Arabidopsis thaliana: one gene and its partner. The protein of the gene in region 1 purifies or fractionates together with the protein of each later gene. This does not show direct contact. Each region holds a gene or a part of one and is shown on either strand. Other genes may lie near its edges. The genes, in order: AT1G72550 and AT4G39280.

What was found.
Region 2: the proteins of AT1G72550 (region 1) and AT4G39280 fractionate together in Arabidopsis thaliana (co-fractionation; one large-scale study listed by BioGRID). This does not show direct contact.

What each region holds. Positions count from the first base shown.
Region 1 is NC_003070.9:27,316,042-27,332,327, forward strand, and holds AT1G72550 (tRNA synthetase beta subunit family protein), read right to left. Parts: upstream 8,072-16,286; 5' UTR 7,868-8,071; coding exon 7,810-7,867; intron 7,720-7,809; coding exon 7,664-7,719; intron 7,576-7,663; coding exon 7,478-7,575; intron 7,385-7,477; coding exon 7,255-7,384; intron 7,181-7,254; coding exon 7,065-7,180; intron 6,921-7,064; coding exon 6,854-6,920; intron 6,674-6,853; coding exon 6,632-6,673; intron 6,382-6,631; coding exon 6,340-6,381; intron 6,126-6,339; coding exon 6,049-6,125; intron 5,895-6,048; coding exon 5,768-5,894; intron 5,697-5,767; coding exon 5,529-5,696; intron 5,394-5,528; coding exon 5,265-5,393; intron 5,170-5,264; coding exon 5,068-5,169; intron 4,946-5,067; coding exon 4,814-4,945; intron 4,729-4,813; coding exon 4,654-4,728; intron 4,571-4,653; coding exon 4,463-4,570; intron 4,355-4,462; coding exon 4,238-4,354; intron 4,144-4,237; coding exon 4,060-4,143; intron 3,985-4,059; coding exon of another isoform or gene 3,975-3,984; coding exon 3,906-3,974; and 2 more. Other genes in the region: AT1G72540 (Protein kinase superfamily protein), read right to left, coding at 1-113, 230-628; AT1G72545 (uncharacterized protein), read left to right, coding at 211-376; PSD (ARM repeat superfamily protein), read right to left, coding at 8,985-9,074, 9,176-9,322, 9,444-9,542, 9,630-9,695, 9,795-9,968, 10,088-10,252, 10,464-10,559, 10,678-10,740 and 5 more; AT1G72570 (Integrase-type DNA-binding superfamily protein), read left to right, coding at 15,340-15,427, 15,523-16,120.
Region 2 is NC_003075.7:18,274,436-18,290,976, forward strand, and holds AT4G39280 (phenylalanyl-tRNA synthetase, putative / phenylalanine-tRNA ligase), read right to left. Parts: upstream 10,496-16,541; 5' UTR 10,397-10,495; coding exon 10,250-10,396; intron 10,044-10,249; coding exon 9,918-10,043; intron 9,825-9,917; coding exon 9,735-9,824; intron 9,619-9,734; coding exon 9,562-9,618; intron 9,468-9,561; coding exon 9,412-9,467; intron 9,329-9,411; coding exon 9,236-9,328; intron 9,146-9,235; coding exon 9,061-9,145; intron 8,954-9,060; coding exon 8,916-8,953; intron 8,832-8,915; coding exon 8,793-8,831; intron 8,670-8,792; coding exon 8,593-8,669; intron 8,472-8,592; coding exon 8,387-8,471; intron 8,305-8,386; coding exon 8,208-8,304; intron 8,125-8,207; coding exon 8,028-8,124; intron 7,918-8,027; coding exon 7,846-7,917; intron 7,760-7,845; coding exon 7,693-7,759; intron 7,611-7,692; coding exon 7,485-7,610; intron 7,412-7,484; coding exon 7,357-7,411; intron 7,257-7,356; coding exon of another isoform or gene 7,206-7,256; exon of another isoform or gene 6,983-7,205; intron 5,908-6,982; coding exon 5,857-5,907; and 2 more. Other genes in the region: CCR1 (cold, circadian rhythm, and RNA binding 1), read right to left, coding at 1-132, 416-523; AT4G39270 (Leucine-rich repeat protein kinase family protein), read left to right, coding at 2,439-4,333, 4,422-4,550, 4,631-4,653, 4,728-5,275; AT4G39290 (Galactose oxidase/kelch repeat superfamily protein), read right to left, coding at 10,770-11,867; AT4G39300 (envelope glycoprotein), read left to right, coding at 12,400-12,551, 12,676-12,794, 13,369-13,388; AT4G39320 (microtubule-associated protein-like protein), read left to right, coding at 14,667-14,798, 14,899-15,267.

The DNA of each region.
Region 1 (16,286 bases):
TTGCCTCGTTCCATGTACTCGTATACTAGAAGCCTCTCATCATCCTCACAGCAGTATCCGACCAAATTTACCAGATGTGGATGCTTCAACTGACCAAGGATTATAACTTCAGCCTGCAGAATCTCGAAGAAACGTTTACTATTAGTTTTATGGTTCCATTCTTATATAAGCTGCTATATAATTCTTGAAATGTGATTCATTGATATGCAGATGGAGAAGAAATCATTACCAGCCACTCTCTATGGCCTTGTCCACCTTCTCGTTTCAAAGCCTTAACAGCAACAGGCTGATCTTTCAAACCAGTCTTGAGGCTATCATCAACGAAACCTTTGTAGACTTCCCCGAAACCTCCTTCACCGAGGAAATTATACTTTGAGAAGCCTTGTGTGATCGTTTTGAGCTCTTCGTAGGTGAATATGTGAATGTTTATGAAGAAAGAGTTTGAGAAGTCGTTGAGTGAGATGGTTGAATTGCTGAAATCGGACATGTAGACTCTGCTTGGAACAGAGGTTTGTCTGGAGAGAAGAAGAAGTTTTTCCTTTGGTGGGTTTGTTGTTGTAGTCTTCTTCTGGTTTGTGTTATTGATGCAGCTTATGGGAAGACATATATTCTTCCAAGAAAATCTCATTGGTTTCATCTGAAACTGAAAGAATCTCTCTGTGTTTGTTTTCTTTCACAAGATTTTGTCTATATTTGATTAATGGTTTTTATTTTATTTTTCTGAATGAATGAACATATAGAGATTATATATGGAAACTTCTTTGAAAAAAGGGTTAGTGAGAAATTGGAGAGAGAGAGAAAGAGAGAGGTGATAGATTGGTGAAGACTCCAAAAAGTAAGTCTGCAGTCTTATAAAGCCATCAAAGATGGCATTTGCCACTAAGCATATAATCAAATGAAAAATGTTTTGGTTAGTTATAATATAGTTTCGTAATAATTTCTAAGAAGAAGATAGGTAAAATGTGTTATTATAACGTGAACTAGACAATTCCAGATACATATTTGGATCTATTAGAAAAATCTTTGACTATCTCAAGCCATCTCATACTTTTTTGCTTACTGTACTATATCATACACTTGTAAGTTGTTAATGAATTGGTTATATATATAGCATATATTCATTTTCTTCTAGAAGACATGGTTGCTTCTGCTAAATATATTATGTTAGTTCTGTCAAAAATAATATTAATCAAGAGGTTGGATTAATTTAACAAACAAAATAATAAAGAGGTTAGATTATTTTTTTCTCTTTGTGAAGTTAGAATGTGATCCCAATACCTTTGGCCACACCATTGACTTGAGACAACGGTATCCTTTGTTTTCTTCGTTAGGCTGAGTTGTTAAAAGAAAATACAACTTTTAATATATAAAACTCAGTCAATTATATTTTATTTTTTCTCCTACAATTGTGATTAAAGAAAAAGAAATTGTAATTAGTATATTCACAATTTGTAGAAATTTCATCTGATATTGATCTACCATTTTTGTTTAAATTGTTTTGGAGATTAAAATAATTCAAGGTTTTTTTCATTTAGTTGAGAATTCCACTAATTTTGTATAATGAAATTATAATTCCACTAAATCTTCTCGTGGCGAGTCACAAAAAAGACATGTTGCATGCGCAAGAAAATTTAGTTCGAATTTGTTTTGTATTATTTGTTTTGAATAAATTCTACGTGGTAGCCGTATGACGGTATGAGATGGTGCACACATAGTTTTTCAATAAAATAGTAGTTAAATACGAAGAGAAGGGAGATTTTCGATTATCGTTAAGGTCAATTTGTTCATTATCATCAATTTTACTTTTCAACATTTTAAAGTATTTTGAGAGCGACATGGCAACAAACTTTCTTGCCAAATATTTTAACCTCAATTGACAAATTCGTTTGTCTATTTTTTATTTAAAATCTTAACGTAGTCTCTCCTTTTTCTTTAATCCCATAAAAATAGTATCGAAGAGCTTTTTTTTTGAGGAATCTGATTTTAAGGAGATTTGAAAGCTCTATATTAAAAGTTACGTAGCTTTTCATTATATTTTATTGGCAAAAAGTTTGGCAATCGTTAATAGTTTAACGAGAAAGTGATACATCCTATAGTGATGATCTAAGTCGGCTCAAACAAACTCGCCTGCGGTAAGAAGGGATGAAGGGGGTCACATGACCCCTATAATTTTTATATATTAGTTATTTTTAATGTAATTTGATTGAATTTGAGAAAATATTTGGTTAAAATTAGTGTTTGACCCCTATAAAATTTTGTTCTAACTTCCAAATGACCCCTTTAGTTCATATAATTTGGGATATTGAGGATTGAGTCTCTCATTGCTGAATTTGCATTTACGTAGAAGTTTCGAGTCAAAATTGTTGTACATGTGACCACTTTTGACTGTTAGATTCCGATTTAGATATATACTTGCGAGTTTTTTTTACTAACTTTCTGCCAAAAGACATGCTCATCTCCGGATTAGTGGGATTGTCCTTCTAATATATAAGAAAATGGGCTAAAACAAAGATGTGTTAGTACAGTCCAGTGACACAATTAGCACGTGGTGATGTGAAGTAGAAAGACAATTCTCCAAATTTTCACATTTTTAGTCAGTTAAATCTTTGTATCAGATTAGCATTATACGTACTCAGATATTCATCAACTTCTTCTAGAGAATAGCCAACTATGTTATTTTAATTGTTGTTGTTTTATCCAATGATGCAAAATATAGTTGAAATTGAACCGAACTGATAACTTGGTTGGTTTAACTAATTTTGACTTGGAATATCAAGTTGCACTAGACTTCATCATTACAGAAATATATTTTGAATTTGAATGAGAATAATATGAATGAGATCAATGCATTCAATTCAATCAAATCGGCTTAGTGGTGATAGAAAGTTTAAAAAACGAAGGAATGGATGAAAATATATCATATAAAGTGTATTAGAATTTGAATTAATGTAAAAAAACTTTTGACTTCTAGCTAGTTTTCCTTTTCTTACCATACGAAAGAACCAAATGAAGAAAAATTTGTTTATAAAAAGATCAAGAAACGAAAAAAGAGAGAAATGTAATCATGATTTCAGGTGTTTTCAATATATATATATAAAAGAATTTTGGATCCGAATTTTGAGTATATTTGAAAAAAGGAACATACATAAAGATATAAAAATTGTGGCAGCCGCGGAGTGTGGCATCATCAGAGGTTGCTTTTGACCTTGGTCCATTTCTCATCGATATTTTATTAGGGTCAAGATAATTAATTAATCACGTGTATTATGATGTACTTTGCTTGAATATATAATAAACACTATAATCGAAAGAATGAAACTCGTTAAGTTCCTAAAAATAAACCAGTCGTTGAGTCCCTTTCTGGTTTACACATATATCCTCATACACACACATACAAGTGCGGAGTGCCACAATAGTCTTCTACGCCTCATTTTCATTATTCAACGTCACTTTAAAATCAAACTACTTCAAAGTTCATAAAATAGAACAACTAGAAAGACTTGAGGATTTAAAAGGATAGGCCACTTTTGTAGGGTTTAGAGTTATAAATTTAAGGTTTATTGAGAAAACTTAGGATTTAGAGTTTGTTTAGTGTTTAGATTCGTTCTTAGTTTCTAAGAATCTAGATTATTTGGCTATAAAAATTAGGCATGTTATCCCTTGTAAAAAAAAATTTGCTGTCAGTTAAGAAACTAAACAAATTCTAAATGAAAATTACAATCGAATTGAAAATAAAAGCTGGATCTTACAAATGGGGTAAAAAACAGCAGAGCAGTTAAATATTTGTAGTAATTCTCTCGACATGCGTGTTCTAGATCCTCTAACCAAACAAAATCAACAACTTCAAATAATCCAGATAACGATATTGCACAAAGAGAAGAAAACATTTTGGTTGGTTTCTTTTTCTATAAGATAGCTTCGATGTCTAACTCCAAGTAAGAGCATGGATCAGGGATGTCAAAGTTGTTCAAAACCTGATGGAAACAAAAGAAAAGAAAAACGATTTGAAAAATTATTGCAGCTATTTGGATCAAGCAAGGAGACTTAAATGAGTGATACCTCAGGATGCACGATTCCAAAGTTACCAATATGTTTCCCTCTGACAATGATGCTAGCTTGCCTGCCCGGTAGAAACTCGGGTTCCTTTTGCAGAACGCAAAAGAGAGATAGATTAGGATCTTGAGTTAGTCGATAATGAAAAATCTTAAGATGCTTGCAGATCGAAAGGAGAGCTTACTTGGGAGAGCTTTACATAGTATCCGTCTTTTTCATTGATTGGTACGTTATTTTCATGGATTGTTAGAAATGGTATTGCCATCACTTCCATGATCCTATCGACCAGGCCATGGATAAGCTGAATCAAGAATTATACAGAGAAAGCATATCAATTGATGAAGTTGCGCAAACTTGAGAAAATAAGTTACATAACGACGATATCATAGTTAGCAAATGAAATCCATACCTCAAATCCAGAAGTAGCACCACAGTATAGTGCAGCGAGATGGCGACGATTGGATGCACCAACGTCTTTGCTCTCATCCAACATGACCACATCACTGATTTCAAAAATCTTTAACAGAAAGAAAAAGATTTATCATTCACGGGACACTAAAATCTCAAATCTAGCTAACGGCACCAGAGATATGGGTTTACCTTAATTGGTTTAGGGTATTTATTGTTGTGACCAACTGTCTTCAATAATCCGGGCATGAGAGCCCTCCTCATGGCCTATTTCAACATATAATGAAACAATTAGCAAAGCATTACCATTGGAAAAGTTTACAAAGAGATGACCAAATTATTTGAAAGGAACCTCAAAATCAGCAGACCGCGGGTTCCCAACTATGACGGCTGAATTAACATCCTCTCTATTTAGCATCGCAAAGTTTTCCTTATGTGAGCATAGTAGCCACGTTACCACCTCCGTGTACACACACATCGCAATCTAAATTCAAAATATAAAATAGATAATTTCCCTGAGAAACAAATGCTTAAAAGTAATTTAACAAGAAACACAGACACAGATCTCTGTGAGCTGATGCAACAGTTAAATGGAAGTGCAAATACCTCTATTCTTAGAAGATCAGTGAGCTCATTCAAAGTCAGTGGTTTTATCGAAGCAGGCTTTCTTGTTGGAATGTTATTGAAACCATAGGCAATGGCAACATCCTGGTGAAATACAAGCAAAATGATTAGTTATATGGAGAATCATCATAATGGCATTATGTCACCAACACAGAAGGGTTTTAGCTATGAAAATATACCTCCATAACATCACAAGGGTGGAGAACGTCGCTCCTGCTGGGGGGTACATGTACTTTGATGGCACACTGGTTATCACTAGATTTTGCTTGCTCAGCTTGCAGCTGCATTCGGGTCAGCAGACTTGTAACCTGAAAGGTACAAAATCCATTTCACATAACAAATGATTAAAATCATTGCACAGTAGCCTCTAAAATCGACATCTCAAATAAGAAAATGAGGCTGGTTCAACCATTACAAATTGACAACAGTGATGTCTTTATTACCTGTTCCACCTTTAAAGAGACTCCAATTGAGTCTGTAATGAAAGAGAGAGGAACTTCCATATCATAGACAGCTAAATCCGGATAGATGTATGACTTTCCATCGTCGTATGTAACTTCAACAGGCTCAATCTCAAATTTTCTGGCACAAAATTCTGAGAAGGTTGTAACCTGGAAAACGTTAAATGATTAGTTAGCTATTGATCAGTTAGCACTGTAGGTTTGATTTGTTAACAACATACCATTGTATTCAAAACAATCTTGGCCTTCGTCAAATCAGTTGCAGTACATTCAATGAAGACATTCTTTGTCTGTAAGGTAATTGCTGAATGTGCACCATTGATAATAGGTGGCAATGACAGCACAGTTCTGCAAAAGTGAGCTTTCATTATGTTTCAGTACGTAATTCATTTATAGTAGGAAAATTATTGATTGGTTTATGAAAGTATTTATCATAGATTGATAGACATCTTTACTTCTTCACCCTAGAGGTAAAATGAACAGAAGTAGGAAGAACAAATACCTCTTACTGTCGTATAAAACAGGGAAGACGGGTGAATTCTCGATTATGTGTAGAAACTTTTTCAGCTTCATATCAGACTGCAAACAAAAGTAATCTTTCACACATCAAGGAAAAGCCTTCGGAAAGCCTAAGTAGTTATTCAGCGAGTAAACAATTATTTCATCTCATTCTATACATATCCATAAGTTCGGGGATATCTTTCGTTGATTATTTGCTCCAAAGAAGTTACGATTTCACAAGAGTAACAAATGTCATAACACAATACGAGAAAGTAACAGATTAACTGTTTACCTTGTAGAATTCAATAAGTTCGTCAGCCCTGAAGCTCTTTGTCTGCGACCAAGAAATTGGTATTAGGTACAAACATGAAACAAACTAGATTGTCACTACGAAGAAGTGAGAAATTGTACCAGAAATTAAAAAAAAAGAACATGCTATAACCAAATAACCATTACATTAAAAATCATTTATCTATATAACCGAGGAGAAAGAATGATTCAGAATTTAAACAAAGAAACACAGGCACATGTAACTATTTTGAACAGAGATACTAGTTGATGAACCCATAATGACATTGACTTACTTGCTTCAAAGGTACAAAATTTATATCCGTTGGCGGCAAAGCCTGAAAAATAATATACATAGAGTTAATGAGACACGAAAAAAGCTCAACTAAACAAAAGTGTCAACATAAATCAAAGGAAACAGATTGTATGAAAGTTGGATCAGTATTCTACTTCTTCGAGAGGTAGAGGAAGACTGTAGACACGAAAAAAGAAGAGGAAAGATAATAACAGACAATCACCTCGTATGTGAAAGGACCCTGCAATGTATCAAGGTCATGAGTTCCAATAGCAACCAAGGACCTTCGCCTGAAATGTGTACAGCGTAGCAAAGTTAAATAAATGGAAACCAATTTTTAATCCCAAAATGCAAGCCAACACAATGATGGTAGCTAATAATTGAAATAATACAAGAGAGAAGAAATGGATCCTATAACTAGCAATGTCATTTACCTGCAAATATTCTGATGTAACTTATCCTGAAGATCAATGAAGCTGTTGTAACGAGCCTCGTCAAAGGTTACACCTCTTAAAACAGCACATACAACAAATGGACGAATCTTCGATGTCTACAAAAGGAGAAAAGTTTCAATAAAGAAGGAACCAAATCAGAAGATACTTGCTATGACAGAAACACACACACCTCAGGTTTAACATTCATTTGAAGGATCTTGTCTTTGCTAATGTCAGCAAGAGTATACGTTGGTATCTCCTGTTTCTCGATGAAAACGCGAAGAGATTGAGCAAGCCCTTCGAGGCAAAGCAAATCAGGTCTGCAATTAGAGATATAAACAAAATACCGAATCAATTTCCTAATACTTAAACAATTCCTTAATCTAGAAGAAGAAAAGTCACAGTTTATAAACCTGTTGGCAGGAATTTCAATCTTGTAGATGATTTCTTCATCATCATCAGCTTCTTCATCGATGTGCTTCTCTTTTCTGATTATTGCCTTTTCAGTAGTCTGTTTCATTGATATACGATGCAAAACCTTAATCAGGATTTGAAAAAAGAATCAAATCACAAAAGCAGATCAAAATGAAGTCACTCACCACATCGTCAAGCTCGATACCGAAACTGAAACACAGTTCCTCGAATTTTTCCTGAGCTGCATTACAAAGAGGATAAGACGAAATTAGAAAACACACACTATGAAATCAGAGAAAGAAAGAAGAAGGAGAAGAAGAAATTGAATTACTATAGGATTCTCCAAGAGCAGCGAACAAACGGTCTCTGCCAACACTGATGGTTGGCATATTCTCAGATTCTTCGTGAAATTAGCAGAAAGACAGAGATAGAGAGATGACGTCTTCTTCTTCTGAGTGTGTGTGCAGATTTTGGAACTAGGGTTTCAAGAAGAAGTAGATGACGATTTTTCACCGTTACAATATATAAATATAACCCTCTTTTATTTTTTAAGGGTTATTGTTGATTTTGCTATTTTTCATATAAAATTTTGGAAATTGCTATTTTTATTAAAATTTTACGGATATGACACTTTTTAACACTTAAAAACATATAGATTTCAGATTTTTTGGGTAAAAATACGTAGTTTACACAAAATATTAAATTATCTATCAATGCCATCCCGAAATATAACAAATTCATTGTTTCGATCTCTTTTATCTTAGTTTTTTTTAACCTCTTTTTATTTTCTTTGCCACTTCAATTGTCAAAAGAACAATCTGTGTTTGGTGTCTCAAAATAAGTTAGAAAATAAGAGGAGACCTCAATATCGAAAAATAATACAATTTCATATTAATTAAATGAATAAAATAGGAAAACAAAATTCAGCCAAAATTGTTTTGTGTGTCTGTCTTTTATGATCTCTCATAGTTTTTTTCTAAAGTATTTTCATGGACAAAGAAAAACAGAAAACATCGACTGCAGAGAGTTATAAGACCATCAAAACTTGGAGATAGGACCAAAAAAGGAAGGGCTTTATAGACACAATCTCACAACAAAGCGCAATAAGAAATAACAGCTGATCTGCCTCAGAGTGTGTGTGTGCACTGGAACAACTTGTAAGGCCCTTGGTTCGAGTCGGAGAACATGATTATGTGTAAGAAGATACAACTGCAGATTTGAGAAGAACCAACATCAACAACAGTATGAATCTCTCTCAAGCTTTTGATCTAATTTGATCTGGATGGTGAAAGCGAACCTTGTTGCCACCTCTCAAGTAGACATTGACAAATACTATTTACATCTGGAGAAGCCTGTAAAGAGATGAACATTATATTAAGCACATGACTTCAAACCTGTCATGTACAAAAATTGAGGAAGAGAGCTTTCTTGGTAAAACCATTAGAGCTCGTAGCGGAATTGACCTGAGAGACCTTTCTTTCTATGAAACTAGCTGTATTTCGAATGCTATCTGAAAACGTGACTCCCGTTTTGTTGAAGCCGGAGATTTTCTATAAGGGACTGGTAGTATGACTTGAGGCTTCGGATATCATTGCCCTGGAATACCAAACACGGAAAGGAGAGACTATGTTTAAGCACAAGACGAGATAATTTTTTATCTACTTATGGTCGTTTTGAGGGAGTAAAACTTAACAAACCTGCAACTTTTGGCAATACTGCTCCGCCAAATCTTGTGGAATATGTGCTGATGGGAAACTTTTCGACATAAGATGCATGAGAAACGTATTACCAAATTTTTCATACATTACTTTCTGAGCCGTGATGATTTCCCCGAACAATGCGTGCTGCGATGCATAGCGAAGGAAGAAACCCAGTCAGTTGTGGAAACAATTCAGAAGTTTATACAACTGCAACGGACAGATAAAACTCCAAAATGAAAAGAGAATTGAAGTTTCTTAAGCTTACCGTATTTGCATCACTGAAATTGAAGGATTTATCTAGCACACTGTACAAACAACAGTTTGTTGCAAACGCTTCGATCACGAAATTCTGAAAACCTGGAACCTGAAAGCAAAAATAGTTCTTGATTATGACATTTGTCCTTCTTTCATGAAGAAAAGAAGGTTAATAAAAATTATTTAACAAGCCTACCTTCTCCTCGCTATATGGCTCGGCACACCAATCTTTAATAAGCTTTATAAATATCTGCACGCACGCCTATTTTTATGGCAAAGAGTAAAACAAGTGGATAATAAGTAAGCGAAAAAGATCATCAAAATTAAATGAATATGCAACCAAAGGGAAAGTGTTACAAACCTTACGTACGGTAATATCCTTGTGATTACAAGAAGTATTCAAAACCAGCTGCATCATAGGATCTAGATACGCCCTACTTTTCGGCGTAAGAAATACAGAAGAAAGATCGTGTGTGGCTATAACATGAAGAAATGTATACAGCATCCTTTGAAGCTCTATCAGTTCCCTCATTTCCTACACCAAAAAAAAAAGGATATATGACTGGATGTAAAGGATGCTACGATATCAGCAGGTTCTCAAGTTACAATTGCAGATCATAAAATTGAGTTAAGAAAGAAAATCAAACGAAATACCTCAGTAACAGCCCCAGGGCGTGAAGGGAGCCCATCTCTTGGAATTACATTGAAAATCCTAACAGCAACCACGGGATATACTTCTTCCAGTATATCATGGAGAGCGCTGTTGAATTTGCAGATAAGCTGATTGAGTAATACCATGAAACCAACCATTTCCTTTGGCTGCAACAATACACATACACAGTAAGACTTTTTGTTGAAGAAGTAATCAAATTAGTGTGCAGCATCATTGCCCGAAATGACGTATCTTGATTAGTAGATATTACTCCCAGGTAAGTAAGTGAATCGTAGGAGATCAACTTAATATTAATTAAAGGAAATGAAAGCAGTGGAGCATTGAATAATAAGGGGAGGTTTGAAATTTTCGTTTTACCTCACTGTCAGCAAGTAGCTGTTCCAAAGCCTTGGGAAGATAAGGGAACACAGCGGATCCAAGGGTATCAACCATACGGTGTATGAATGATGTGACCTACAGAAAAGGGGAACAAGCTAATCACTGACCTGTGAATCAATAACTTAATGGAAAAGAATATGCAACACTACTGATTACAATATGTCTACTTAATAAAATACAACTAAACTCATACCTTACTCCGCAAAGGCTCGACCTTTGGAAATTCAATTAGCACCCTTAGAAGAACATCCAGTGTCTACATTACGGAGAAGGTTACCAATGGTCAGTAAAGAGTAAATACAGAGCAGTTTCAATTAGGGCAGAGAATTACAGTCAACAACTGAAGTTGCAAAAAGTACAAAAGCATTGAAAGACAGGTTGCAAAGCAATACATGATTCATAAGAGGGAAAAGACCATCTTGTTTACAAACCTGCTTAAACATGAGACCAATTCCAGGACGACTAGCAGTAACAAGACGTTCGTTGAAGCCCTGAATTGCAAGCAAAAGTGTAAGGACAAGCCCAGAAGAGGGTAAAATTTGAAGTACCAAGTAACAAATCTCACGTGCAGAAACTAGAATAAACGAACACAAACCTTGCTGAGCGCATTAATTGCCACAATAGCAAATTGGATATTTGCAATTTTCACAGGAAAGTCTTCGGAACTTGCAACTTTTGCCTGCACAAGTCCTGCCTCAATCTGGTACAATCATATCACATGGAAAGAGTGTGAGTACACCTGACCATAATTATTGCCAAAAAGTTTCATGAACAAGAGAATGGTAGAAACGAAAACCTGTTGACAGAGAGGGGTAAGCAGTAAAGACAAATAATCTGACTGCTTTTCAGCCGGGACATCCTCCAACCCTATGATTATGCCAATAGCCTACAGAAAAACGCATTAGGAGTTGAGAGATTTTTTTTAGAGTACTGAAAAAATTTCCTTTTTTCCAAGCAGAAGTACATATATGAAAACAGCAGCTTCAAGTGGTAGTCAAACCTCAAAAATGTGACTGCCATCTTCAGTTCCAGTAAGTTCTCTTGATGCAAAGTTCATAGTCGTCAACTGGGACAACGTATCTTGAAGGTTCTGATTTTTCATAAAAAGATAGTTAGACAAAAAAATTAAACAAGAAAATACATCGGATATACAAAAATGGATAACTAGCCTTCAGATCAAACGAGCTGTAGATAAGAGAAAATGAAAATCAAACCCTTACCTGCAAGATCTTGTCAATGAATGGTACAAGCTTTGATTTTAACAATTTCACGACTCTCATGAACAAGTAACCAGCTCTACGGCTCACATAGAAATTCTGGTGATGCAAACCCCTATCATCAAGGAAAGCACCAAGAACATTGGGAATGTACTGGGAGTTTTCCTGAATAAACTTCATGTACCTTGTTATGTTTTCTAAGTACACTAGTGCAACAAGTCTATGTGAATGACCAGGGAACTGTGTGGTCAAGAGCATCGGAATTAGTTCACTCAAACACCCAGATCCTGTTTTCATGGCCTCCTCGGTCATAGACTCTCCGAATGAATACAAAAGCGAGAGCGCAGCTTCCACTTCTTCAACATTGCTCTCCGATGAAGATTCAACAGCATTTGCTAGTGAGTTACGAATGAAATGCTGAGTAACTTCAGGAGCAACACGGCCCACTGTACGTAATAAGACAAAGAGATCTTTTCTAAACTCGGACATTCTATCTTCCTCCTCCAATCCAGTTTTATCCAGTGAATTAAGGTTATTACGATACATAGGATCATAGCAAATCTGAATTCTTATCACTTCGAGAATCTGTGTAATGTGGAGCAGCTGCTTCTCCTTCAATGCAGGGAGGCCTTTGAGAGTGGAAACATAACCCAGGAGAAACTGGACGATGCTAAAAGTAGAATCCACCTCACACTTCTGCATGACATAAAAAACTGATGGCAGAACTTCGTTCAGCAAATCCATGGAGACTGCCTTGGTGTCCTCTGAGTTCAAACGCTTATGGCATTCTAGAACCTCAACAGCATAGCCAGTAAGCAAAGCAGATACTTTTGATACCAAATCGGAATCAACATCTCCGGATACTAAACCAAAAACACGACTGATTTGAAGGGTCTGCAAAAGGGGCAGTTTTGACTGGGGATCCATCCGCTTAGAAACCATGGCTAAGACACACCCAGCTGCTGCACCGCGGACTTGTTCAGACAATCCATCAGACAAAATCAATTCAAACAGCAGTGGAACAAATGCATCATTGGCAACCAAACCAATGTCAATCCAAGATACAAATCTTCTCATGCAATCTAACACAGTAGCAGAAAGATCAGGATCGGAATTCTTGTACATCGATACAATGTCATACCATGCTCTGGCTATCTGAGGGACACATTGTTGCCTCATTGCATCCTTGACTCGAGCAGCAACAGATATCTCTTCTGGTGTCCGGGGGTAATCCAAGCTAATCAACTCATCGTCCAAGGCATTCAAAACCCGACAAAACATGTCGATCACAACAGCACCTTTGCACAAATGAAGCATGAAATCAAGAAACACCGAGGACCAAATCAAAGGGTACTCATAATAGATCAAAGTAGCCAAAACCTGTGCAAGCTTGTTTTTAACAAAAGGAGGTCCTTCCACAACTCTACCAGCATTCTCATTATCAATAACCTCCAAACAAGCCATTGAAAACACTGATTTCCTCACATAACTCTGCTCATCCAAGCTCATAGATCCATATTTAACCCTTAAAACATCCTGAAGCGTTTGCAAACACCAGAACTGAACTTGGACAAGCTTAGAAAACCATAACTTCTCAATACATATACTACAAATAGAAGGAGTCTCTTTGATTTGCTGACAATAAGTAACAGCTTGAGACTTTAAAGCCGAATCAACAGCACCAGTTTCAAAGCTAATTACTATTGCCTGTTCAAGGTCATCCATTGTGTTAACTTAACCCCACTACAAAAACCCTAAAAACCGAGATTTCAAAATCCAGTCCTGGTTTGTTGCATACAAGTCAAACAATGCCTTGAATTAGTATCGTCAGCTAGCTTCTCTCCTTCACTGTTCTCTTCCCTTATCAGATTTTGATGCGAAGAAGAAAAAGACGAAACTTTTAGTGGGTTTCGCTTGAGAGCTTACCAGAAAGTAAGGATCGTGGCGATTTTAGCGATCGGATTTATGAGAGTGGGAGATATAGTAGAAAAGGGATTATGGAAACCCTAGTTTGGGTTTCTCTTTGAATTCAAAGAATACTTTTTTTTGGTGAGTTTCTAGAAAATTTCCCTTACGGATTTATAAATATGAGGAAAATTGTGAGACTGGAGAGAAGACGGAGCTGTAGGGTTTTTTTTTTTTTATACACAGATTTTTATTAGCTTGCAGAATATTTTCCCAGAGAACTATAAATATTATTGCCAGCGAATTGAAAATTAACCGTCATCTGAATTCAGTAAATCAGCCCATGGGCTTGAATCTCTCTCACCTTAGGCCTTAGGTGTTGCATACTGATAGATTAAGATAGACATGTATAAATGTTTTGTGAGTTAGCAAATATAATGGTGTTTTTTCACTTTCTTAATCTAATGTTTTATAAAACAAATTGTCACATTAATACATATAACTAAACTACTTACTGTGAAATTATTCATGGAGACAACTTCTGTAGCTAAGACCTCTCGATTTTTATTTTGTATACTACAAACTAGGTAATTGTAAGAAAAGGTTTGTTCTGTAATGGCATTGTCGATTACCTCGTAGAAGAGGTTGGAATATTTCCGATGCCCGTAGCAAGATATAAAATCACAAATTCATTTTTCAGTTGTTAAAGAAAACAATTGTGGCTTTTTGTGTAGAACGACATTTCGTTATGTGGGTGGCGAGTATGGACAAACTACCCACTAAGTCTTGGTTAACAGCTTGGAACACAATTTCATTTTCTATCTATAAGCAACATATGCAATATAATCAACCAAATAAGAGAGATCACTTATTCTTTTGTTCTATCATATTTTGTGTGTCTGTTTTCAAAGGTTATACCGTCACATTATCCGCTTCTCACACTTGAGGCAAATTTTATGAGTTAGATAGCATATTGCCAAACACTCCAGCTATATATATCTTTTATCTTTTAGATTGATCTTTGTCTAATCTGCGAAAACAGCAAGATCATTTCAGGCTTCTCCATCACAGTTAGAATCATTTTCAAACGGATCGATTGAATGAGCAATCAAAAACACATTTTTATCGTCTAAGGAGAAATTTCCTTGCAATACTACTAATTTTAGTACAAATTTTGTTTACTTTTAAATTATGTAATGTTCTTTAAGTTTATTAAAAAATATCCCAAATTATATCGAAAGAAAGACATTAATAAAAGAAATGTATTATTGTCTAATTAACATATTTCGAAAGAAACAAAATACTGACTTTTTTAAGCGCTACTGTGTGCTTTTTTTACGGAAAAGTTAATCAAATACCAAAGAACGAAAATTTTCATTGTAGTGTGTCATGTGTATCTCCCATATATATATACGTATACATCGAAAAGATCCGAGGGAGAGTGGGCACAAAACTCTAGAAGTCAGATGCAAGTGTGTGTGAAAGAGAATGTGAAAGAGTGAGGGAGAGAGAAACTTCCTCTTCCTTTCTTTCATGCTTACGACAAAACTTCACCGCCACCTGTTTTGTCTCAAATCTTTTTTCCACCTTTTTAATTATATAATTTATTAAATGTTTTAGACTTATGAAAAATATTAATGTATATTCGCACGTATGAGACTACAAATCATATAAAACGAAACCCTATACATATAAACTAAGAGCGAGAAAGACAGCTAGAGAGAGAGAGAGAGATGAAGAAATGGTTGGGATTTTCATTGACACCTCCTTTGAGAATCTGCAATAGTGAAGAAGAAGAACTTAGGCATGACGGTTCCGATGGTACTCTCTTCTTCACACATCATCCCCCTGGTATATATATGTTGTTGGTGTGGCCACTATTAATATTCTTAATTTGATTTCTATTTTATGTGTAGTTTGGAGATATGATATTAACTTTGATCATCATCATCATGATGAAGACGTTCCAAAGGTGGAAGATCTCCTCTCAAACTCTCATCAAACCGAGTATCCTATAAACCATAACCAAACCAATGTCAACTGCACCACTGTGGTTAACAGGTTAAACCCACCCGGTTACCTTCTCCACGACCAAACCGTAGTTACACCACATTACCCGAACCTAGATCCGAACCTTAGCAATGATTATGGAGGTTTTGAGAGGGTCGGTTCGGTCTCGGTTTTCAAATCTTGGTTAGAGCAAGGCACTCCAGCATTCCCACTCTCGAGTCATTACGTTACTGAAGAGGCTGGTACGAGCAATAATATTAGTCATTTTAGTAACGAAGAGACTGGTTATAACACCAATGGCTCAATGCTATCATTGGCTTTGAGCCATGGGGCTTGTTCTGATTTGATCAACGAATCGAATGTATCCGCACGGGTCGAAGAACCGGTTAAGGTAGATGAGAAGCGGAAGAGATTGGTTGTTAAACCTCAGGTAAAGGAATCCGTTCCTCGGAAGTCGGTTGATAGTTATGGACAAAGAACTTCTCAGTATCGTGGAGTTACAAGGTACGTACGTTATTAAATAATGACGTCTCAAACATTTGTTTTGGTTTAAATGATGTCTCAAACTTACACGTAAGAAAAATGTGAATGCCACAATTATGTTACTTATGTATATTTGTCATTTTATTTTGTAGATTATGTATAATTGTGTCGACACATATTTATGTTG
Region 2 (16,541 bases), on another chromosome or scaffold:
GTTCACGGTGATGACACGTCCATCGAGCTCTTTACCGTTCATCTCTTCAATCGCATCCCTCATGGCTTTCTCGTCCTTGAAGGTGACGAATCCGAATCCCCTTGATCTTCCACTCTCGCGGTCGTTAATGATCTGTAAACAAACAAAATCATACACATCAGCAAAAACAATCGTGGAAGGAATATAAAACAAAGCGATGAATATAAAGCAAAAATCGATCGATCTCCGAGCTCATAGAAGCAGGAAGATGAACGTACCGATGGGACAAATTAAGTAACAGTAACAAAGAACGAGAGAGAACATAGTAACAGTAATCGAATCAAGTAACAGAGAAACAGATCGGAATCAGATCCGTCGAGGATCAGAATCATCGGAATCGGCTCGATCCGGGAGACCGATCTCTCGTGTAACAGACCTTAGAATCGATAACGTCGCCGAACTGTGAGAACGTCCTTTGAAGATCTTCATCATTGGTGGCCCAGGCAAGGCCGCCGACAAAGCACCGGTACTCAACTTCAGACATTTTTTTTTGGGGAAAAGAAGAGAAATTAGGGTTTCAAAATGTAAGAGAGAGACTTATGTGATTTGAGGTGATAAGACGCAGCCTTAATTTATAGAACAGGTGTGACGTAATAACTAGGGTTAAACATGTTTTCTAGGGTTTGCTGAAAGATTTGTTTCAACTTACTCTGATTAAGATGTGTGGTTAATTGGGTTAGTGGTTAGGCCCACATCATGTGAGCATTTTCGATAACTAATGATTTTTTCTCCTCGTTTCGAGCAAAAAATATCTTTGTAAGAATATCTTTTATTCCTTAAATGACAATTTTGTCCTTCGTCTCGTCGTCATTATGTCATACAATAGTTGGGTCTGAGTTTCGTTTATTGGGCCTATCTAATTTAATTGGAAAGATTATAACTTCCGGCCCAATGAATCTGACGGCGAAATTAGTAAAACAATAAAATGAAATAATATGCAAAGACTATGACGATAATGTGCTATGGATTTACATATTTGTTTTGTCATTAATTATGACATGCAATAAATTCATATGAAAAGATTCTTATCGCAATAGCATCGTGGACATGTTACAGTCTGTAATATCCAAACTTTAGCATAGACGTTTTTTGTTGTACAAATATTTTGGTATGTTAAGTGATATTCAAATGAAAGCTAGATGTGCAGATATGTGAACATATAAATCTTTCAATGGAATTCAATTTTCAATCATTGAATATTTGGATACACTCGCTCTGTACTTGAAATATTTTGACTGTCTGAATATTATTTTTTTACAGGATTAATTATTTTGTATACCAAAATTAGACGGATGAAGAATGAAGATGTAGTAGTTATACAAAGTCAATTACAAATGGTTCAGTATCTTGATTTCGATTTTTGTGCTGAAAATGCTGACTAAAGCGTGTAGAAGAGCTTTTTCAACAAGAAATAACCTGGCTAAGATTTTTTTAAGAAATCTGATTATTAATATATCGCAGGTAATATGAAAAAGTATCGTCGACTTTTTATAAGAGTGACAACTAAATCATTTTGCTCATAATAAAGCCACAATTATTATTAGTATATTTTGGTCGTTTTAATACGAGGAAAAATAATTGTCATACAAAATTTACAGAAATGGAGTAGCATCGTAGCTCCTAGGAATTCAATTATTTATTTGCAAAACTACTAAAATGGTGGTTATCATATTAAACGTCAGCAGAAACTTTAAGTATTTTTGAAATGATATTAATTTAAGAGTTCGTTAAGCTGTCTTGGGCGGGATCGTTGAGAGTCAAACTCCTCAAACGACGCCGTATTCAGAACTTCACTTTCAATTACTGTATCTGCGTCTCGGTCACGAGATCGAACCATAAATCTTGGGAACGTGCACGTATACAACGAAAGATCCACCTTCTCTCACTTTTTTTATTTTCTTATACTTTCTTCTCTTTTCTTCGAACGGCCGCTGTTCTTGACCAGTCTGAAGCTTTCTCTGTCCAGAACAGTTCTGTAAGAAGAAGTTTTTATCAAATATTATATAAAAATATCTGTTTCGTATTATATCAGACTTTCCATCTTTCTCTCTCTAAATCTAGGACAAAAAAAAACATGGAAGAGTTAGAGAGAGAGAGAGGCAGCAGAAAATGATTGGTAAACAACAATGAATCGTTTTTGATTCTGAAGTGCACAGAGAAAAGTAATTGCCAGAGAAAGTCGCAGAGGTAACAGAGTGAAGAACCTTTTTTAGTATATATCTTTGTTGAATAATCACAAAAAGAAAGTTTCCTTTATTGATCGGATTCGAAGGAAACCCAAAAAAAAAAGAGATTTGATTATTTCCATAAATCGCGAAGCTTTTTTCCAATTGAATCTTAGGCAATGAATGGCTTTAAGTTTTTCGAAGTACTAGTCGTCACCAGGGTTTAGAGAAACCATGGTGGTTCTGAGGAAGACATCCTTGTTGGTCTTCTTCTTATTCCTCCTCTTGTTGTTAGAGTCAACGTTTGAGCAACAGACAAGTTCTCTGAATGAGAAATCGGCGCTTCTGCTGTTAAGGTCTTCTCTTGGGTTACGAAGCAGAGATTGGCCTGTAAAAGGCAATCCTTGTCTGAACTGGAACGGCATCAAATGTGATCAGAATGGTAGAGTAACTAAGATCAACATTTCAGGGTTCAGAAGGACAAGGATTGGGAATCAAAACCCGGAATTCTCAGTTGGTTCTCTCGTCAATCTCACCCGTCTAGCTTCCTTCAACGCCTCAAGGTTCTATCTTCCAGGTCCAATCCCGGCTTTGTTTGGATCGAGTCTGTTGACTTTAGAGGTGTTGGACCTTAGCTCCTGTTCAATCACAGGAACCATCCCTGAAAGTTTGACTCGGTTATCACATCTCAAAGTTCTTGATCTTTCAAAGAATGCGATCAATGGGGATATTCCTCTGTCTCTTACCTCTCTTCAGAATCTATCAATCCTTGATCTTTCCTCAAACTCGGTGTTTGGTTCGATTCCTGCTAATATTGGGGCACTCTCAAAGCTCCAGCGTCTGAATCTTTCGCGTAACACCTTGACTTCTTCAATACCTCCATCACTCGGAGACCTCTCTGTTTTAATTGACCTTGATCTCAGCTTCAACGGAATGTCAGGTTCGGTTCCATCAGATTTGAAAGGGCTAAGGAACTTGCAGACATTGGTAATTGCGGGAAATCGCCTTTCAGGATCCCTACCTCCTGATCTGTTTAGTTTGCTGAGTAAACTTCAGATCATTGACTTCAGAGGCAGTGGTTTCATAGGCGCTTTACCGTCCAGGTTATGGTCGTTACCGGAGCTCAAGTTTCTAGATATTTCTGGAAATCACTTCTCTGACATGCTGCCTAATACCACTGTCAGTTTTGATTCTACTGTCTCCATGCTTAACATATCCGGGAACATGTTTTACGGCAATCTCACACTTTTACTGACAAGGTTCCAAGTTGTTGACCTGTCAGAAAACTATTTTGAAGGTAAAATTCCTGACTTTGTGCCAACCAGAGCTTCATTGAGCAACAATTGTCTTCAGGGCCCAGAGAAGCAGCGGAAGTTGTCGGATTGCACTTTGTTTTATTCAAAAAAGGGCTTAACTTTCAACAATTTCGGACAACATGAAGAGAAGAAGAGTTCTAAAACTTCCTGGTTAAGCCACACGAAAATAGTTATACTTGCTGCAGTTGGAGGGTCTATATTGCTTATGCTCATTCTCATAGTGTTACCAATAACAGTGAGTTTCTGTGTCCGTCGAAGAAACAGATCATCAACAAGTAATCATCCTAGAGGAAGACACAACGGTGTTGGCCCATTACCTCCTGATGAAACACTTCCCTCAAGAGGAGGAGTCTCTATAAACTTTGGGAGTCTTGGATCATCATTTACCTATCAGCAGTTGCTCAATGCCACCAAGGAGTTCAGTGATTCAAACCTGATCAAGAAAGGACAATCTGGGGATCTTTTCAAGGGAGTTCTAGAAAACGGAGTTCAGATCGTTGTGAAAAGAATCAGCTTGGAATCTACAAAGAACAACGAAGCTTATCTAACCGAGTTGGATTTCTTCAGCCGGTTTGCGCATCCGAGAATAATCCCATTCGTAGGGAAGAGCTTAGAGAGCGCAACTCATAAGTTCTTGGTATACAAGTACATGCTGAATAGGGATTTACCAAGCTCATTGTTCTATAAATCCAATTCCCTAGTTGACAACGGATTGAGATCTCTCGATTGGATCACCAGACTGAAAATAGCATTGGGAGTAGCAGAGGGACTTGCTTACCTGCACCATGATTGCTCACCATCCGTCGTCCACAGGTATGAAAAACCATTCCTTTTACTCTTTTTTTACTTTCAAGCCACCATTAGTTCATTACTGATCTTGAGTCTTCCAATGTTCAATAAGGGATATTCAAGCAAGTAGCATTCTCTTGGATGATAAGTTTGAAGTTAGGCTTGGAAGCTTTAGCAAAGCTTGTCATCAAGAAAACAATGGCCGTCCACGGAAAATAGCCCGATTGCTCAGACTATCCCAGTAAGTGCCTCTGATTCATCATATAACCAATTTTGATTTAAACATCTAACAAACAAGCTTGCTACTGTTTCCCTCTTCAGGTCTTCTCAAGAAAGTGTTCCTGGTGAGTTTATCTTCAAATGCATAAAACAAGCTTGCTAATTTCTTAACTATTCTAACAATCCCTAAAATTCCCAGGGTCTGCAGCTACAGCAACATGTGCCTACGATGTGTACTGCTTCGGCAAGATACTTCTGGAGCTTATCACAGGGAAACTCGGAATCAGCTCATGTAAAGAAACCCAATTCAAAAAAATCCTAACCGAGATCATGCCTTACATTTCATCGCAAGAGAAAGAACCCGTAATGAACATTCTAGACCAATCTCTTCTGGTCGACGAAGACCTCTTAGAAGAAGTCTGGGCAATGGCAATCGTCGCTAGATCTTGTCTTAACCCAAAACCAACGAGACGGCCGCTTATGAGACACATAGTACAAGCCTTGGAGAATCCACTGAGAGTTGTGAGAGAAGACAGCAGCGAATCTGAGAGATTCCGTACGACTGGATCTTCGAGAGGATCTTCGAGTAGCGGTCGAATATTTGGTAGTTGGAGACAGAGCGTGTCTGATCCTGTCGCAGCGGGAACAAGTAGCCTTCTGTCTCAGGCGGAGGGTTTAGCGACTGGATCGTCAGCGAGAGGAAGTAGCCGTGGCGCGTCGAGTCGACGGAGTATGAAAGATGTATAGAAAGAAAGACACACACACACACGATCAATATTTATTTTTTGACGTCAATTTTTAATTATTTTTTATGTGTGGTTATGATTTGATCTCTTGTTGATAAAAAATTCCCGTTAATTTATAATATTTTTCGATGATCAAACCAGACCAGTCTTTTGAGTTTTGATATTCTCGGGTAGCAAACTAGCAATTCGTTTTGTATGGGGTGGGAATCGAAATGTTTTATACTTTGGGGCAATTATATAAAAAACGAAAAGTTTCTGTAATGATGTGTGAATGAGGCTAATAAATGGGCTGCTGTTATCTAACCACGTTGCATCTTTGCACTTAATGGGCCTCTTGGCCCAGTTACTTATTTATTTGATCTAAGTTCTTATTCCTTACATCGTAAATACCACCTCACAAACTTTATACCATACAAAACCAAATGCTAAGTGAAAATTAAATTTGACAAGCCAGATTGCAATTAAGAGTATACACATGTTTAAGATGGAATTGTCAAGTCCAATAACCAAAGGTAGAATTGTAAATACCAAGAGATAATCAAATAAAGTATCTTGAATCAAAAAGATAAATCAAAATATCACTCATATTCCAACTCGGCAGATCGGATTCCGTTTAATAAGATCGAGATCCACCTGCGACAAAATAATGACACATGGATTGAATATATATATTTCCAATAGAACAAAGAAATGTTTACACAAAGTTTTCTTGATAAGTGAAGATTTTGTGCATACCTTGTATATACAAAGAAAGACCGTATGTTTTTTCTAGCCTCTCGTCGAAAGCAATATTGAAAATCTCCTAGAGTGAATCCGAGTACTTGATGTTGTATACCTGAACAACCCACGATCTAAGATGAACACTCAATACATAAATTTTACCTTGTATTATACCCACGGCCGAAGATAGTTTGTGGGCTTCTAGAACCGTCGAACGGAGATGGTTTCTCACATAGTTGGGATAATAAATGGCTTGGAATGTGTTCCACAATTGATTGCATCGATAGTTGAGCCGTTACTCACATATGTTGTTTGAAGTCAGAAAGTGGGACCACCGGTCACAGTACATACATATTTTCAGAGTCACCAAATTTCTTTTCTAACGAAAACCACTAAAACCAGCAATTCCGTAAAGCAACAAAAAATACGTCTTTCTTAACATTTAATTCCGATCGGACTTGATATAAAATTTGAAAAATCTATTTTCGTTGGACGGAGGGAATATTACCTAATTATTATATGTACTGCATCTTAATTATTATTATTATTATTATATATATAGCTTTGTTACATAATCTGTGTTATCTAGATTCAATAATTACAAAAACCAAAACATCACGTAACACCAAATTAATTGAGAAAAAAAATATAAATATAGAAAAAAATAAAAAAAATATATTTAAAAAAATCTCAAGTAAATCATATAAAGCAAAAACAATTACGCCAATGTCGTCGTGCACAATGATGAGTTCACCGCAAATATCCAGCAGTTACAACGTTGTTAATGTTTAAGGAAATTTGATGTTGAGAGCTGCTTGGACCGTATCTCAATACTTATGTATGTGACAATAGATTGGTACCAATGGACATTAGCTACACTAGATTCTATTGGGCCACATTGGCCCATTCCAAACATACGTTTTCTCCCACATGTTAGGTGCTGTTGCGATTGATTCTAAAAATATATGCCATTGGCACAAGTATAGACTATGCATCCTAAATATGTATGCCATTAGTACAAGTACAAACTTTATACCGTACAAAACCAAATGCTAAATGAATATTAAAATTCGACAAGCCAGATTGCAATTAAGAGTGTACACACGTTTAAGATGGAATTGTAAAGTCCAGTAACCAAAGGTAGAATTGAAAATACCAAGAGATAACCAAATAGAGTATCTTGAATCAAAAAGACAATCAAAATATATCACTTAGATTCCAATTCGGCAGATCGGATTCCGTTTAATAAGATCGAGATCCACCTGGGACAGAATAATGACACATTGATTGAGTATATACATCAACAGAACAAGGAAATGTTTATAGAAAGATATCAGAATAAATTAATATCTTTGTGCTTACCTTGTGTCCAAACAAATCTCGGATGTTGTCGATACCGTATAATATCATTGTTGGTCTGTTTAACGAACAAAAAGCAAGAAAGAATCAGCAACGACCCTGAGATGTTGAAGGGAATTAAAAACTCGTACCTTTCAAGAGAGAGACCCCAAGCGATGACTCTAACATCCTCGGGGAGACCCATCGGTAGAAGCATTTCGGGTCTGAACATCCCAGAGTTTCCAATCTCCACCCACTTCCCTAAACCTTCATGGTAGCTGACATCCAGGAACAGGCAAAGTTTAACTTTTTCTCTCTATTCTTACGCAATTTAGATGACTATATTTTTTTACCAATTACCTGAAAATCTCCATGCTTGGCTCTGTGTAAGGGTTGTAAGCTGGCTTGAAACGCAATTTCGACATCCCTGAAAAGTATGATCCCGTAAAGAGTTAGTATTTCTCTCTTGAGCCTAAGCGAACCAAAGTTAAGATTCAATAGCGAAGAGTTTACCTAAGCGTGAGAAGAAGTCTTCTAATACACCAATCAGGTCTCCAAGTGTAAGGCCCCGATCACATATCAAACCTGATCCAAACATGAGATCATTTAACCGATTATGAATAAAGTTTGACAGAAGATTATGCTAACTTTAATATAACTCCCCACAGTGACAACTCTGACCATTAGAACTATACCTTCAATTTGATGGAACTCTGCAAGGTGGGTCCGATCAACAGCCTCGTTTCTGAAGACACGGTCAATCGAAAAGTACTTCTTGGGCACAAAAGGTTTCTACAGTAAGATATAAATCTAATTATACTACTGAATTTTGGAAACCAACGTCTCAAAACCTGTAAGCTAAAGTCTAGTTGAACCTGTGCTAGTGCATAAAGCATCCTAGATGAGACAGCCGTTGTGTGGGTACGAAGAAGATTCTTGTTTGCTTCTTCTCTTTTCCAATCATAATTATACCTTTATTGCAAAAGGCCATGTCAGAGTGATTGCAAATTAATTATTATTTATTCAAGGTGGTAAGAAGATACAAGTCAATTACCCTCTTGATCCATAACCACCAGACTCATGAACACGTTTCACCCTCTCAACATAATCTTCCGGAAGTGTTCTTGTAGTAGAGGGAACTACATTCAAAGATTTACGTCTTAAATGTAAGAGTTATCTATTCTTTGAGATGTCAACAAGCAACCTAGAAATAGCTGTCCTAAACAACAAATTTAGTGACAAAGGATTCAAGATTTGAACCTTTTAGAAAGAAGGTGTCATGAGAATCACGAGCAGGGTGCTGCTGAGGCTGGAACAAAGCATCAAAATTCCAGAAGCTGTAGCGTATATGAATCAGATTAAGATCAGCCAACAAATAGCAAGAAAAGGATGTATAATTAGATATCCTTAAAGCCTCCATGGAAAGCTGAAAACCAAGATTCTTAATAACTAGAGGATACCTGCTCTCCACATAGTTGTTTGTTGGCATCTCCTCAAACCTATGACCACATAAGGCTCACCATTAATTTTAGCAATCAACAGAAAAATGGGGAATTACAATATATGTGAAGAGTTTCTCTCACCCCATCTGAACAAATATGTCTTTAAACTGCTTCCGCACCTAAGGTACAAGAAAAGTAATATAAATAAAAACTATAGAGGTTTGATAAAGAAACAACAAGCTTACACTAAAGGGATACGACAAGTTCATTTTTTGTGTCATGTTACCTTGAGAAGAGCGTGAAGATGCCCAGCGTCAACAGGCGCTCCTTTAGCTTTGAAGTTATACTCCTTAAACTCTAACTCTTTCCAGCTGCAAATATACCAAATTCCTCTCTTAATTGCATATTCAACCTACAATAGCATTAAGAAGTTGAAAAAAAATGCAAGGAATAGGACAAACTTTTGAAGATTTTCTCGAGTCAAATCGGTAGCCACTTTCTTTCTCTCGGGAGCATAATTAGGACCTTTCTTTACGGAATACCCCTTCCATATCCTGAGAAGTAGTAAAGATATCAGCTATTGATAATGATGTCTCTCAATAGGAACGAAACATAAAAGAAAAGTAGAATCAATTACTGTGGTACTATGAGTTTTCTGGCTTTAAGAGAATTGATACTTTCTTTGTCAAATTCCTGAAGGGGAAGAGAGAGTGATGCTCCAAATTAATATGAATCATTAAGGTAAATACAACAGAGGAACTCTCTACTGAAATAACATAGCACAAACCTTCCCTTGTTGTATTTGTAAAAGCTGGCCTTTCACTTTATCTTCTACATCTTTAACCTACAAAAAAATGGTTCAGATTGATGCAGACTAAACAATTGAAATGATTCATACACTACCAAACATCATCCAAAAACGGAGGTAGCAAACAGAAAGTAAAAACAATCTAGCGTTACCTTCCTCGAGACTTGCTTTCCCATTTCCACCCACTTGTTTTTTCCAGCTTGAGAACAGCCGATCTTGAAGACTGCAGGAGCTAACTTTTTCTGAAATAGCACGAATTTTACAGTAGTTGTTTTAGCATATGACTAAACAAATCCCACACTATATACATCTACATATCCATTGCAATCAATAACCTGGAGCTCATCTTTTGATATGCTGCCTTCTTCAGGAACAGCTAAGAAAAGTTGAACCTCTGGTGACCCTTCTGCCGCATATTTCTTCCCTTCATCAGTCAGAATCCATGTCTCCTTTTTAATGTCCTGCAGAGAATAGTCAACCCATGTGACTGACAATGCAAATCTAGTCCACTAAACCTTGTTAATGATAGAGACTTATGGCAAACTGTGAGATTCATCAGTGGCATTCATGGAAAAGTACAAAACTTTCAACCAGATATCAAAACGTCTTACTCTAACACCCTAGACCAATAATCCAAACCCTTTTATCGAAATTCCAGCACGAGTACCTGAACATCGATGTAACGAAAACCATGGAGACTTTTGATGACATTGACGAGTTCGTTGTGGTCGATGTTGAACTCGGCAGAGAATTGACCCGAATCAGTGATCTGTTCATTGTTCTGAAGGAACCCTAGTATCGCCTCTTCCGCCATAAGTAATCTCTTGAAGTGTTTTTTTTTTTTTTTAATCGAAAGAGCTTTGCCCTACTCTTCTATCTCCTCCGGTCAAAAACAGAGAGTGAGTAACGCCGCAGAATAGTATTTGCATTAAATTGGTTTTTAAGGGTTTGACTTTAGAGTGCGTTTTTAATAGTCTCCAATTACTTTTGAAATTGCAACATAGACCCAAATACTTTTAAAAGAAAAATGAAAGCTAAAAATTTTTTCACTATAGTAAAATATGTAAGTTATGGGAGGAAAGCAAACTCCAAACGAGTTAATGAACAAATAAAACCAAATAATAGTCCTTCTTGCACATATCAGTGAATGATCAACTAATTAAACACATGTCTGATAAGCCATTGCATCAAACATCAGGAGCAAGAGCACGCACTAATTGATTTTTCTCATCGGTTATAAAGACAACGTCAGACCACTTAAGCAACCCCCAAATCTCTCCTTGATGTTTTTTTTCAATAACAACTTCTTCACACCAGATTAGTTTCTTCTTAATAGTCACGCACTCCTCCCACAAAAGAACTATGTTTCCTCCATAATTCACCATTTTAACACCTTCACCACGAGGATTCATAATCGACCTGCGCACGAATCCTTTCAAATTTTTCCATATTTTTCTACATGAGTCATACCATTGGAGCATCTCGTAACTATAACGGTAGAACACGTTCTCTATCACACAATTAGAGAAATGAAATCCATGACTTAACGATAAGTGTGGCTCTCTCCATCTACCTTTGTGTATCTCGTAAGTCATGAAAGTTGCACGATTATTTTCTAATGAACTTACGTGGATAGCTTCTTTATACCCTACGATTTTGTAATTAAAACCTCTGCATACCTCTTCGTTAGGAATCTGCAAAAACTCCCATGTTTGGGTCTTCGTATCGAAAACTTCAATCCAATTTGTTGAATCGAGATTCTTGCAGCCTCCTATTACATATATTTTCCCATTAAGGACGCAAGTAGATGGAAAGTCATCACGTGCCACGCGCATGCTTGGAGCCTCACGCCATGTATGAGAACGGCAGTCCATGACCATGACCTTAGACGATGCACTATTATTTAAGTTTCGTCCACCAATAGCATAGATATCAGAACCAACCGCTACAACACCTGATCTGTAGTCAAAAGGAGAATCAAGAGATGATATTGGGACCAAAATTTTGGCGCTGCTACTTATTTTTTGGCGGAGGGTGAAACAAATTTGTCTGTAATCAGTATTCGTACGGAACCGTAAACACACGTAAAGACCACTGCTAGTACAACCTAAGAATGATCTAAGCTCTTGAAGCTCCGTTGAGGCAATGAGAGACCGGAATTTCTTGGAAACGAAGGAAAGGCTAGGGTAATACACTTTGGAAACACGGGCTAAACAGTTTAATACCAAATCATCAGGAAGCATCGAAAACGTCATCTGTGACTCATCTTCCTTCGACATTAACATAATTGTGGGATACGTGAACGAAAGCTTCGTACGTACGTTTTCGCTTCCTCTCGATCTCTAATAATAATCCTAAATCCACTGCCACAAATACAGTATATATGCACAAAAATTAAAACTCGTATCCCTTGGAAAGTGGAAAAAACTAATTTGTATTAAAAAGATTTAATTTACAAACGATATATGACGAAAAAAAAAAGATTTAGTTAACAAATTGTACTGTTACGAATATATAGATTTTATCTAAAACTGATTTACAGGGATGGTAATATTTTATAGTTGACAAAAATAAAAAAAGGATGACATGATAATATTTTCTTATGTTTATTTTTAACGCACAAAAATAAAAACTAGGGAGGGTGTATAATGCATAAATTAAAAGTTAGAGGGCAAATTTGTGCTACTTCTGCAAAACTTAAACGATGCCGTTTGGGTTGTAGGGTTTAGTGCATCCGTGCTCTGTTCACTTGTTCCATTTCGCTGTGTAAGAAAAGAAAAACGAAACTTTCGGTTGTGCGAAATCTTAAGATCAAAGATGGCATCGTTTTGCAGATCAGCGTTAATGGCAGGTTCCAGAAACTTAGTATCAAGATCCAGAACCGTAACTCAAAAGTCCCTCAATCTTAAACCCACAACTACTTCATCTCCTTTCGCTTCAATGTCTCAATCCATCCCTCGCGCTTCGAGGTAACTACTTCACCTTTCAGCTGATTCAAGAAGTTTAACTCATTTTCTCTTATGCTCAACTTTGGAAAAAGGAAATTTAGAGAAAATATTCAGCTCGTTTTAATCAGAAACATTTTATGTGAAGGGTTCTCTCTGCTTTGGGAAGTGTTGAAACGATGATTCCACTTCACAGTGCCGTTGCTTCAGCTCGTCTCCGGTCAAGCATCGCTGCTGATTCCTCTTGTTGGAGCTTGCTTTCTCAGGGTATCTTTTTTCCTCTATTTTTTTGCTGTTTTCTTGCAAATTATCCTTAAATTTGTTGTCTTTTTGGTGGGTTGATTCTGTTTTCTGCTTTATCTGTTGTGCATTTGGAAAGTTTTTGAGAATAAGATTGAAACAGGAGATCAATTTCTTAGTAAGCTTGAATCTCTCTTATGAAATGGGATCACAACTCTTAAAAAGATAGCAAGTATTAGATGATATTCTTGAATAGCAGCATAATTGTGGCAAGAGATTTTTCATTAGTCTACACTCGTTGGATTCAAAGTTTTTTTTTTTAGCTCAAACAATACTGATTAGATGTGAAACTGGATGATATCTGTGAAAGATATGTTTTTTAAGTGTACAAAAGATTGTGGCTTCACTAGATATAGTTTCGACTGGGACAAAGCCTGATAAAGATCAAAACTTTGAAGAAAGGAACTGTTACTTCTCTTATACAATCATGTCTTGTTGAGATATATGTCTAGTTGGTCTTAGATTATTTAGTTGCTCCTTCTGATTTTTCTAAAACTTTGCTTCTTTCTCTGACTTGTGGTTCTTCTACTTAATGCGATAGGACTTGCAACGCCTTTGTGACCCCGGTCTGCTGGATCGATATAAGGCGGAAATAATCAATATATTACAATGAATGAACAAGAATAGTGTTTTTTTTTCTAGTTCGAACTCTATCGTCAATGTATTGTTGTGTGGTTCACAAGGACTTGTTGTTTCAAACTTCTTGCAATCTATCTATTCGATATTTGGATCCACACATTTTGGGGCCTTTTTCCTTCACTAAAGTCAGCATTTGCTTTCTTTTGTTCATGCACATTGTAACGAGGAACCTCTGCATTTTTCAATTTCTGAATCTTGTTCACTGATCCTCTTCCCATTTCTCTCATCTCTTTAGAACTGGGAGTTCCTCGGTGACACCATCATTAGCTTTGGTCTTGGTCTTGAAGCGTCCATGGGTTGATACTTGATATTGTACTGTTTAAGACTACTTGTGACGTTGCCAGCTTCTTAGACCGGTTTTCTCCGGTTTAGGATCAGGTTGTTTCCCAATTTTATGTTATCGTTTAGACTTTAGATCTTTTTTGAGCATGGAAGGGAGTTTAGCATCATTTTTTAAGTATTCTAGCGAATTACATAAGAATTAGTCATTCTAACGAACTTAAAACCCGACCAACTAATAATTGTGAATCCAAATTTTCTTGCAGTGTACTCATAAACTCATTCTTGGTCACCAACTATGTATATAAGTAAGTAACTATATAATATTGATATTTTTGAAACAATATACTACCAAACATATTCGAGAGCCCCACATTCACCAGACAATTCGTCCAACGCCAATCTCGCCAGCCTTTAGCTTAAATTACCAAAGGGACAAAAAAAAGTTAAAGATGAAGAAAAAATATAATACAATTTCCGTTAAATTTACTTATAAACACTAAATTGCTAGTCAAAATTTCATTACCTATGAATAATATTTAGAAAAAAAATACTGTATAAGTTGGATTTCTTATACAAAGATACATGACTCAGCCTTCCGTTACAAATAGTCGGAACCAAACTAAGAATTTGCTCCATAATCTCTTACTTGTGGCATTAATTAGTCATTTGAACGTCATTTCTATTAAGTGGAGAGTAAAAGTCTGATGCTAAAAAAATAATCGATTTACTTTCGCCTTTGTGTCTCTTTGTATCCCCACCACCTCCTTATCTAGTTAACCGCGTAACGAGATGGACGGGCACAACTATATACATACAAGACGTGTGTGTGTGTGTTCATGCCTATATAATAGCTAATGTTCTTGTAAGTTATAACTCGAACAAGAAACAGTAAGAGAACTTATAAATAGAGAAGGCTATATGGGGAATTGTGCACTAAAGCCAAAAGTTCTGTCAGAAACCGGAGCTCCGGCGCCGGAGGAGCTCAAGGATTCACTTCTTGAATACCATAAGATGGACGCTGCAAAATCTCTTAGCAACTTGTTCCTTCAAGTAAGTCACTATAAAATTAAAAACAAGCACAAGAAATTATGATGTTATATTAAGTTATGTTATTCTTTGTGTCTCATTTGTGTTTTCTTTTGGTTAATAGGACAAGGCAGATAAGATAACGAAAGAAGACGAGAAGATCACACCGGAAAAGATACCGGTTACTGATGATCTGAAAACAGCTTTGGAGGAGGAAAATACTCCGACCAAAGAGGCAAAATCTCCGGCAACAGAGACAAAGTATTCGGTAACAGAGAAAAGAGCTCCGGCTGACAAGAAGATAACACCGGAAATGATGCCGGTTACTGAAGATCTGAAAACAGTTTTGGAGGAGGAGGCAAAACCTCCTGCAACAGAGACAAAAGCTATGGTTGATGATCAGAAGGTGAAGAACGAAGTGGCCGTTCGTGAAGAGAAAATCATTGACCTCGTGACTGTGAAAGAGAACGAAACAGAGGCGAAAACAGAGTAGGTGGGAAAAGAATAAACACAGTGAAACAGCCTTGAAACGCTAGTTTCTGCGTTCTTGATAGCAAAATGCTTGTTTTTGTTTAGATTATATTTTTCCTCGATAGATAAACGCAAACGCTGTATTCTTTATATGAATTGAAAACTTCAAATTTCCTATTGACCGATCCGTCAACCCAAAAGAATGTCAATGTAAGAGGCTACGAAGAACGTGTTTTTCCGTTTTCGTTTTCTGCGATTGCGTTTCAAAGAGAATGCATGCGTAAATCGGTGCCCGTTACAACACTTTCGAAAGTTTTGGTTTGGACTTTAACGGGCCGATACGGGCCGTATTATAAAAAATTTGTAAAATAAGCAACAGTTTAATGGACCGAACTTCGTCGATCGAGATCTAACGGGCGAGTAAGAACCGGGTCGGAAATACGGATCCGGATTCTGAGCATTAAATTGTGAAACAACTAACTCGACAAACCTTTTAATTGCAGCAATTTAAGAGGCCACCGAACTCTCGCGCCTCGACATCTCAATTATACATGTAGTGAACAGCCAATAATATTTAGCCACGTGTTCATAGTTTGTTGGTAGTTATAAACTTAGACTAATAAACTCGACCACTTCTAACCACCACCGGTTCATGGACGACCGACCTGACCTACGAAAGTTAAAGTGAGTTCTTTAATAAATGTGAGACCAAACGAAGAATTTTTGTTAGCATCAAATTAAGTCCAAAACATGACTTTTATTGATTTCATATGATTCAATTATAAAGCAGATCAGATAAGTGATGTGTAACGAGGATGAAGACATTAATTGTTATGGCGAGTTCGGTATAATAATTCGAATTTTATCAACAACGTCCAACCAGATTTATCCATAATGGCTTTAACTTCAAGTTTGAACCATGATGATGTGAATTATAAGAAGAAGAAAAAATCACAACCTCGCATAGTCATATATTCCAAAAATAGAGAAAGTGAAAAGGACATCTTAATTATACATCATGTATTTTTTCTTTTTATCCATAGCTAATTGACGTGCTTTAAAACCGTGAGAGTGTTATATGCCAGTCATAAATTCCCAGCAAATAAATCGGCCATGCAAGAAAATTTGAAATCAAGAATCAAGGGCAGTGAATTCAGTAACGTGTCAATTCTGACAGTAATTTTTTCTCTCTTTTTTTCAAAAAAAAAAAAGAAAATAATCGCATACAAAACAAATTATATGGCTATTTTCTGTTAAATTTTATAAATGATAGTAATTTTAGTCAACCATAATTTA